Danio rerio: one gene and its partner. The main gene of each other region encodes a partner of the protein of the gene in region 2 in a complex. Links are inferred from orthologs where the notes say so. Each region holds a gene or a part of one and is shown on either strand. Other genes may lie near its edges.

Region 1 (4,240 bases), on a different chromosome or scaffold from region 2:
ACTTGATGTGAATATTCTTGTGCTTTGGATTTCTTTTATCCAGAGTGTTAGTATAGCTTGTCCCAGTCATTCTATATTTACGGCTGAAATGCCTGTAGAGGTGCTGCAGGATGAAAAACATAAGGGGATTCTTAGTTCTGATTCAGAGTCTGAAATATCTGATGCTGATGATCTAGACTATGTGCCACGAGGTCAATCTGGAGAGGACATCAGACAGGACAATCGAAGATAAAGAGGTGCAAGTTCTGCCCAGCTGCCGAAGGCAGAAAAGTCAATAGCTGGTGTTCTATGTGCAAGAGGCCTGTGTGCAAGCGTAAACGTGCAGTTGTCATTTGTGATAAACATAAGCACTGAGATGGCACTGTTCCTGTGTAATTTTATTTTGTCAGTGTTTTGTTCTTATATTGATAACATTCATTCAATCATTCCTTCATTTTCTTTTCAGCTTAGTCCATTTATTATTCTGGGGTCGCCATAGCGGAATGAACCGCCAACTCATCCAGCATATGTTTTACGCAGCGGATGCCCTTCCAGCTGCAACCCAACACTGGGGAAACATCCATACAATCTCAATCACAGTCATAATAAATGATAAAAATTTCAGCTTGTTATTATTTATCAGTGATTGAAATGTGTGGAAAAATGTTAAATAAACATATTCCAGATCTTAAATGTGTTTGTCTGAATAACTGCTAAAACATTATTCTTTTATTAAGGCATATGCATTACAGTAACACTACAGTGATAACATTCATTCAATCATTCATTCATTTTTTTCCGGCTTAGTCCCTTTACATATGTGGGGTCACCACAGCAGAATGAACCGCCAACTTATCCAGTACATTTTTACACAGCGCATGCCCTACCAGCTGCAACCCATCTCTGGGAAACATCCAAACACACTCATACACAACGGACAATTTAGCTTACCCAAGTCACCTGTACCACATGTCATTGAACTGTGAGGGAAACCGGAGCACCCGGAGGAAACCCACGCGAATGCAGGGAGAACATGCAAACTCCACACGGAAACGCCAACTGACCCAGCTGAGGCTCGAACCAGCTGCCTTTTTGCTGTGAGGCGACAGCACTATCTACTGCGCCACTGCGTCGCCCTGTATTGTATTTTACTTATTTATTGTTTTTTCATGTTTTCACAGGTGGGTCATTTTTGACCCATGTGTGTAAAATTGATGTTGTAATACAAAACCTAAGAAAATCAATAATTTATGGTGAATGAAAAAAAATATTTTGAATATTGATGGATAATTAAATTCATGTATAAATGAATATATAATGCTGAAATAAATATTGCTTTTAAAAGATGAAACCAAAAAATGCCCAGGGAAAAGAGAAAATAACATAGGAAATGAATACGGGTTATTTCAGACCCATTTAGTGCATTAGAAGGGGTTTTTATAGCTTGTGTATCGAAGAGTTAAAAACTATACTGCATAGTTTTTATGCCTTATTAATAAAATATTAAATAACTTTACTGTAAATCACTGTATTTTCACCAAATTCAGTCCACACATCAACACTGTCCTGATGGTTATACTAAAAAACTTCTGTTAAAAAAAAATATATATATTAATAATTTTTATGAAGTTTTGGTATGAAAAATATTTAATAACTTTAATGTAAATCATTGTATTTTCATCCAATTCAGTCCACACATCACTGCTGTCCTAAACATTGTCCCTGTTAATCACTGCTTCCTGAGCATTGTCCCTATTAAACAAATAAATTCAAATTTAAATAAAGAACAGGTGCTAAACTGGCAGTATGTTTTTTGTCCATATGAGACCTTTAGTGAAAAAACGGAGAAAAAAACAATACAAAAAAGGCGCGCCGTCTAGTGGTATTTTTAAAACAACCTCAGATGGAACAAGTAATTTCAAAACAATAGACAAAACATCTGTGGAGAAACTTACGGTAAAAGACGTACTCAGTGTAACTTGACCATATCTTGTCGTCTGTATGCTGGTTGATAATTGAGGCTGTCACAGACGAGTTACATGCGACCATCTGAAAACCACACTCCGAGAGCATGTCGAAAGAGCGCTCAAGGTGCTTGAACTTTAGGTAAAAGCGGGATGTGTACTTATCAGCTGTCCTGTCAGGGTCCCTGCTTTCGTTTAGGGTCTCGCCAAAAACTTCTTTGGCCAGGGCAATCCTGCCGCATATCATAATCCGAGGCACCCTCCGGAATTTGGCATCGGTTCGATTTTCCCTACCCATTGTACAAGACCCGCGATATCCGACGGTTAAGAATCCGCTTTTTCTGTCGGCGAGAATGAGTGACGGCGGAGGACACATTCGCTGATCGCTTCCTTGAGACCCGTCCTCGTAATCACTGTGGATATATTCATCGGAACTAGGTTTTAGGTCGTCAGGGGTTAAGAGTTTAACCAAGTCAGGCAATTGAAAGTATTCCGCTTCTTTCCTCAGCCTTCCTTTCTCTGGAAAGTGGTCAGGAAGAACAACCTGTTTATCCCTGAGGTAGTCTAACACGTATCTGAACAAAAAACCATCCCGGTCGATGAAATAACGACCTTTAGGGTCCCTGGCAAGATCATTCGATGCATTATTTTTGGGAGAGAATATTTTTCCCAAAAGAGAGCCAGGGGTATTGATTAACGTAGTATAACGTGTATAATAGACTTGTCCCCCCACGTTTAATTCAATAACATCTGGAAAAGAGCTGTCTTTAGGTTTAGAATTTCCACTCAACGCCATCGTTTCAGTGATGGGTGCAAATAACAACAAAGTTCTGCTCTTTTCCAATGATCCACAGATTCGGGAGTGTTTTAGGAAACGTCGATTTTTATGCACATTAAATTGCAAAAGAAATCACATTTCAAATCTGAACCGATAATTGCACATATTTTTAAATGCACATATTCTCCACAGGGCTCAAAAAAAGAGAAAGAGCAAAATATCCGAGGAACTGCACACCTACATCCTAGAGTCGAAGAATTGGTAGCTCAGCAGGGCACACAGCGAAACACTGGGGTGTGCTTCCTTGCCTGAAAAAAAAAAACTAGTGCATTTGCATAAGCATTTAAAAACATCATATAATAAAACCATTTAATCTTTCAAGGAGAAACAAAGTTTATTCCAAATTAAGCAACGATCTGAATCCAACTTTTGCCGACCAAAGAGAACAGATTACATAGTTTCAAAAGATAAAATCTGACGACAGTTTCAGCACAATAGGGTTGATCAATAATCCAAGCGGTTAAGAAAAAAATTGAGTGTGTGATCCTCTGGAATAATCCAGGTGTTGTGCGTTGGTGGGGTTTATGGTGAAAGATGATGCAGCATCATACTCTGTGCGCTCGCGATCGAGGGCTGTGGCACGAGAAAATAACTGCCTCAGCTGTTGTTGCCTCGGCGGGAGGAGGAAAAGAAACATAATGGGTTATCAAAAATTACATCATCTTAAAGACGTATGCACACAATACCGTGGTGTTGCGGGTATTCACACCATTGTTTGATATAGGCAGTCAGCTTTGTTAGCTAGTTTATGCAGACAACATCAGATCCTTTCGTGCATTCCAGCTTCAAATAACAAAAAAAGTAGGGTACTACCAGGTTGTGTCGAGTGGAGTAATCCGCTGATTTCAGAACCATGGACAGTGAAAACAAGGTTCCATCAAAGTTCTTTAAAGCATCAACATTACACACTATTAATGAAATTCATAAGCGATGTATGCATACAGTTTTATTATGTTTCTATTATTGTATTCATGTTATAATGCTCTAAATGTGTTTGTCTGTTTAAGTCAAAGAAGTGTCGGCCGTCAAATAACAAATGGTCGCTATTTTAAAAACAAAGAACACCTTAAATATAGCGTCTACTTTCATGTTTAAGTAATCTACTGTTTCCTATAATGTTTGTTTATGTCTCAGCACACATCTACACGTTTCTTTTTTTTCTTTTGCAATATTAAATACACGCTTTTATAAAATGTGTATATATTAGGTGAAGTCAGAATTAATAGCCCCCCTTTGAATTTTTTATTGTTTTTTTGCTTTTTTAAATATTCCCCAAATTATGTTTAACAGAGCAAGGAAATTTTCACAGTATGTCTGATAATGTTTTTTCTTCTGGTGAAAGTCTTATGTGTTTTATTTTAGCTAAAATAAAAGCAGTTTTTAATTTTTTTAAACACCATTTTGAAGACAAAATTATTAGCTCCTTTAAGCTATCCTTTGAGCTATCCTTTTTCGAAAG
Region 2 (4,124 bases):
ACGCCTAATTAAAAGAATTACCTGTGGACCAATACCTGTGTACAGTGTTAATCATTATGATCATACCTTCATAGTCAAATAACAATTAGCCACTTTCTAAGTCTCTAAGTCTTCATTTACTAAGCCAGCACTGACAGTGAGTGTTATAAAGCTGAACATTACCACCATACATAACTGTTTTGAAGGTTGCACTTACTGTACATATCATAACCATAATCAAGCAAACTGTTTAATTGACCAATTTACTAATCAATTAATGTCTAGTTTGCTTGCTTTGTGTTACAATATTTTCCATTTGTTCAAATGTGCGGTATTTTCTTTACTTATCCTCAAAAACCTTCTTGAAATCAAGAAAAGATCCATTAATTACTGCCATCTTCAGGTAGCCTATAAAGAAAGCCAATGCTATACTTAAATAAAACACTTTGAAGCCAGCCTAATCTGCTTTACTGGGGTCCGTTCTTCGTACGTGGATTACTCAGTTAGCTGGATTTGGATATTGACGATTTGACACGATCCAGGATCGTTTCGTTCTTCAAAGCTGATTCGAGAGTTGTTGTCATGGCAACAGATCTGCTAGGTCAAACCTGATCGGGAGCAGGTTCAAATCATATAAACAGGATTAGATCGGCTCAGTTCAAGCAAAGATAATACAGAAAGTATGTTCTGAATTCTGATATTTTCTTACAGTAAAAATTATATACACTTGGGAAAATAGTAGTTTTTAACTATATATTTAAAGTTATAGTCATTAATAAAATAAATAAAGTTATACATATTAATAAAACGTATGCAATCTGCACCCTCAAAATGAAAGTACAAAGACTGCCACCTGGTGGTGCAAAGAGAAAACTTATTGATATGAACTTTTTAGATCGCTTTAGTACAAATTGTTTATAATAGAAATGCACAATATGTGACTTTTTTTAAAAGCAATAATACATTTATGCAGTCACAAACATGTTTTGACAGTTAATATGCCAGTGATTTGATGCTTCACAAAAGTTGCAGACGCCTTTACCAATATCAAAATGCTTTTGGAAACAACCAGTTATTCTTTACACCGATTAAAAAACTGTACTATAATAAAGAAAATCTTTTCTAAATGTAGAACTAAATACATTGATTTGCATTGAAATACATGATGAATACTCTTGTCTTGACAAATGAAAGTGTAAAGCCTGCAGCTCACAACAAATGTGGAAGGTTATTGCGTGTCATATTTAACAAACCGTTTACTGCTAATTTGATGTAATTTTGCTCACATGGATAATTGAATATTAATCAGATGATGTCATTACGCTGCTGTGCCGTCAGCCAATCGCGTGTGCCAAAAGCCATTGCTGATCATGATTTCGAGGATGGATAGATCTGTCCTTAACAACAAACGCAGCGATCTCAGATCAGTTCATCCAGACATTCTAATCTGATTCGCGAACTTGTTTGAAGAACCAAATAAGCGAGAGATCAGTTATCAAGATTAAAAGATCCAGGATCTGCCAAATCATCTTAGATCATTTAAGCGAGGTACGAAGAACGGACCCCAGGTCTCCCCAAGGAAGTTTACGTACTCTAGTGTTGGGTTTTTCCCCATATATGATGAGGGATCCCCCATTCTAAAATGTAAGTGGGAACTATAGAATTTCTAGAGCATTATTATAATATAAAACAAAGTTTATAATAAAATAACGTTTCTACTAACTACAGTACTGCATTCAATTATTGACATTTTACTATTTAATTGTATCTAACTTTGTGTCTTGTGTATTTACTTTTCGTCATAATTCAGTTTTTACTATTTGTCTGAATCTTATTTAATCATTTTTATATTAATTATTTTATTATTAATTAATTAAATCATTGTTTGCTGCTTTAATTTTGATGTATGTTTGTATAAAATGCACATTTAATGCAGTTTTGTTGACTTATTTGGTAATATTTTAACATCTATTTTACATTTTTCATTCGCTTTTTCCAAACGTTCCATGAACCCCCAGCCCTCCCTTGTGGTTCCCTGGTTCCCAGTTTAAAGGCCGAAAAGTCCATCATGAACCAGATAATAACAGAAACCATTTAGTCTGGTTTAAGCTGTGTTTCGTGAAATATTATATTTCGAGTGCCAGTCAAGAACTATAAGGTTTGTGTAGCTGCAATTTCAGAGTGCTGATTAAAAAAAACACTGACAAATGAACAGTAATCTCTTCATGCAAATGAACAAGAGAAATGGTTTCTGTAGGTAACTGGTGTCCAAGTAAGAAAGAATTAAGCAATATACGGCATGAACAGCCACTGGCACGTGCAGAGATCGTCAAGACAGTGCAAAACCTTTACATTTAACAAGCACAAACTTGCTTTTCCAAAACTCTGATGAACATCAATCACTCGACATGGCACAAACAACCCCAGAAAAATCGCGTTTTCCACATGAGCGCGCGCCGGACGCACGCTGCCCGCAGTTTACCCCCGCAACAAGCACGTACACGTTCCCGCACGCATTTACCTCTGTGTCGTAGATTTTGGTGATGAGTGAGAAGGAGTACTGCCTGGACTCGCGGATGTGCTGAATGGCCAGCTGAACGGCCGGTTCGATGCCCTGACTGATGCTGCTCATCAGCGCTGATTCATTCATCGGCATCAGGACCATGATAGGCAACTTCTCACCATCCCTCGCGTACCAGTTGTTGTCCAGGCCGTGCCTTGTGTAATCGTTGCAAACCTTCGCCAATGCAGGTTGAAATCCCAAGACGGACAAGAGTAGGCATCCCGACAGAAAGATCATGTCACATCTGCAGTCCCTCCGGGACGGAGCCATGCTACCGAACAACTGAGATCCACCTTCTCACTGTCCTCGCATCGCAGTCTTTAGGTTCCTCTTGGATGCTGCGATCAGTCAAAGAGAAAAAGCATAATATGCAGCAGTAGAGGCTCTCGCGCACTCGATCTTGAGAACAGAAACGGTGCGTAAAACCAGAAGGTGTCCAGTCGCAGGGTTTATAAACTAAGCTTATTTCCCTTTTAGGGTTCCTTATCAAATCCGATCAGACACGATCCTTCCTTTCACCTCCAATAATGCGCACATCCCAATCCACCGCCTGTGCGTTACGCAGAGGTACAAGCGCAATGATTTGAGTCAACCTCCGCTATAGCGAACGTAAATACAACAGCCCAATATATTCCAAACATTTGAGGAGTTGCATCCCTGTGTGGAAAGCGCATAGGTGAGAGACGCTGGAGGACGAGCCCTGGTATGTAAAAGCAATTCCGAGTGAGGATATCCGTGCGACTCCGATGCTGCTGCTTCGGCGGATGCGCTTCACTTCTTTCGCGCGCTGACCGCGCTGTGCATGTATGCGTGCGCGCGTGTGTGAGCGCGCGCGACACAGGCAGAAAACATTTCCCACATTTCCAGAAAAACAACCGAGTGAAAGAGCGACAGGGCAGCTGTTCACTCGTAACGCGTTCAATAACCTACATACTGTCCCTCAGAGGTAATATGTGAGGTAAATTGACCACCTGCGCCCAATAGACTGCGTTTTAAAAGATGTGTTTAGTAGCCCACGTAAACAGAACAGAGACGTCGATTGCAATATAAGCTAGTTAGTTATTGATTGTTATATTAATCCCTGCGCAAATAGTTAACATCCTACATATAAGTCAAATCATATTGCACATAGTTTTTTCTTTTTTCTTTTTTTTTTGGTCATCGACAAACATTACAGCAAAATAAACACTGCCACCTAGCTATTACAGCCCTGTATGTGACTAAAGTTCACTTTTTCCTCAAGTTACTGGGAATCATTTTACTTGAAGCTAAAATAAGTTTAACTCCGACATTTAGCTAGATTTAGTTTGCTACAATAATAGCCTAAATAAACATGCAAGTGATTTCACAACAGTGCTACTCACCGGAAGTTAACTCTGACTGAAGACACGCGAGATTAGGCCAGGTTCAGCGTTTCTGTCCAAGGTGCTGAAAACAGCTGCGACTCAACTCTCTGTGGCTTCGCTCATGTCAGCACCTCGTTTCATATTTCGGCTGGACTACGCCTAAATTTGCACGTGGTAATGCTATCTGTTGTATATAATTATGCTTTGCATACATTTGACAAATACCGTGGACGGAA

What was found. The genes of interacting proteins can lie anywhere in the genome.
Region 1: the proteins of gabbr2 (region 2) and kctd16b are in contact, whole or in part, in a crystal structure (PDB 6M8R), measured with the Homo sapiens proteins. The link is inferred for Danio rerio from reciprocal best matches to the Homo sapiens genes GABBR2 and KCTD16. Residues at the interface, in NP_005449.5 of Homo sapiens: Ile882, Asn883, Ile888, Gln889, Arg891, Leu892, Ser893, Leu894, Gln895, Leu896, Pro897, Ile898, Leu899; in NP_001357415.1 of Homo sapiens: Asn30, Gly32, Gly33, Gln34, Val35, Tyr36, Asp64, Leu65, Ala66, Lys67, Asp68, Ser69, Arg72, Phe74, Gly79, Phe80, Arg83.

The regions. Positions count from the first base shown.
Region 1 is NC_133196.1:44,213,644-44,217,883, reverse strand, and holds the start of kctd16b (BTB/POZ domain-containing protein KCTD16b), read right to left. Parts: upstream 2,809-4,240; 5' UTR 2,740-2,808; coding exon 1,935-2,739; intron 670-1,934; exon of another isoform or gene 446-669; intron 1-445. UniProt on the Homo sapiens protein: Auxiliary subunit of GABA-B receptors that determine the pharmacology and kinetics of the receptor response. Increases agonist potency and markedly alter the G-protein signaling of the receptors by accelerating onset and promoting desensitization.
Region 2 is NC_133194.1:36,756,647-36,760,770, reverse strand, and holds the start of gabbr2 (gamma-aminobutyric acid type B receptor subunit 2 precursor), read right to left. Parts: upstream 2,813-4,124; coding exon 2,501-2,812; intron 1-2,500. UniProt on the Homo sapiens protein: Component of a heterodimeric G-protein coupled receptor for GABA, formed by GABBR1 and GABBR2. Within the heterodimeric GABA receptor, only GABBR1 seems to bind agonists, while GABBR2 mediates coupling to G proteins.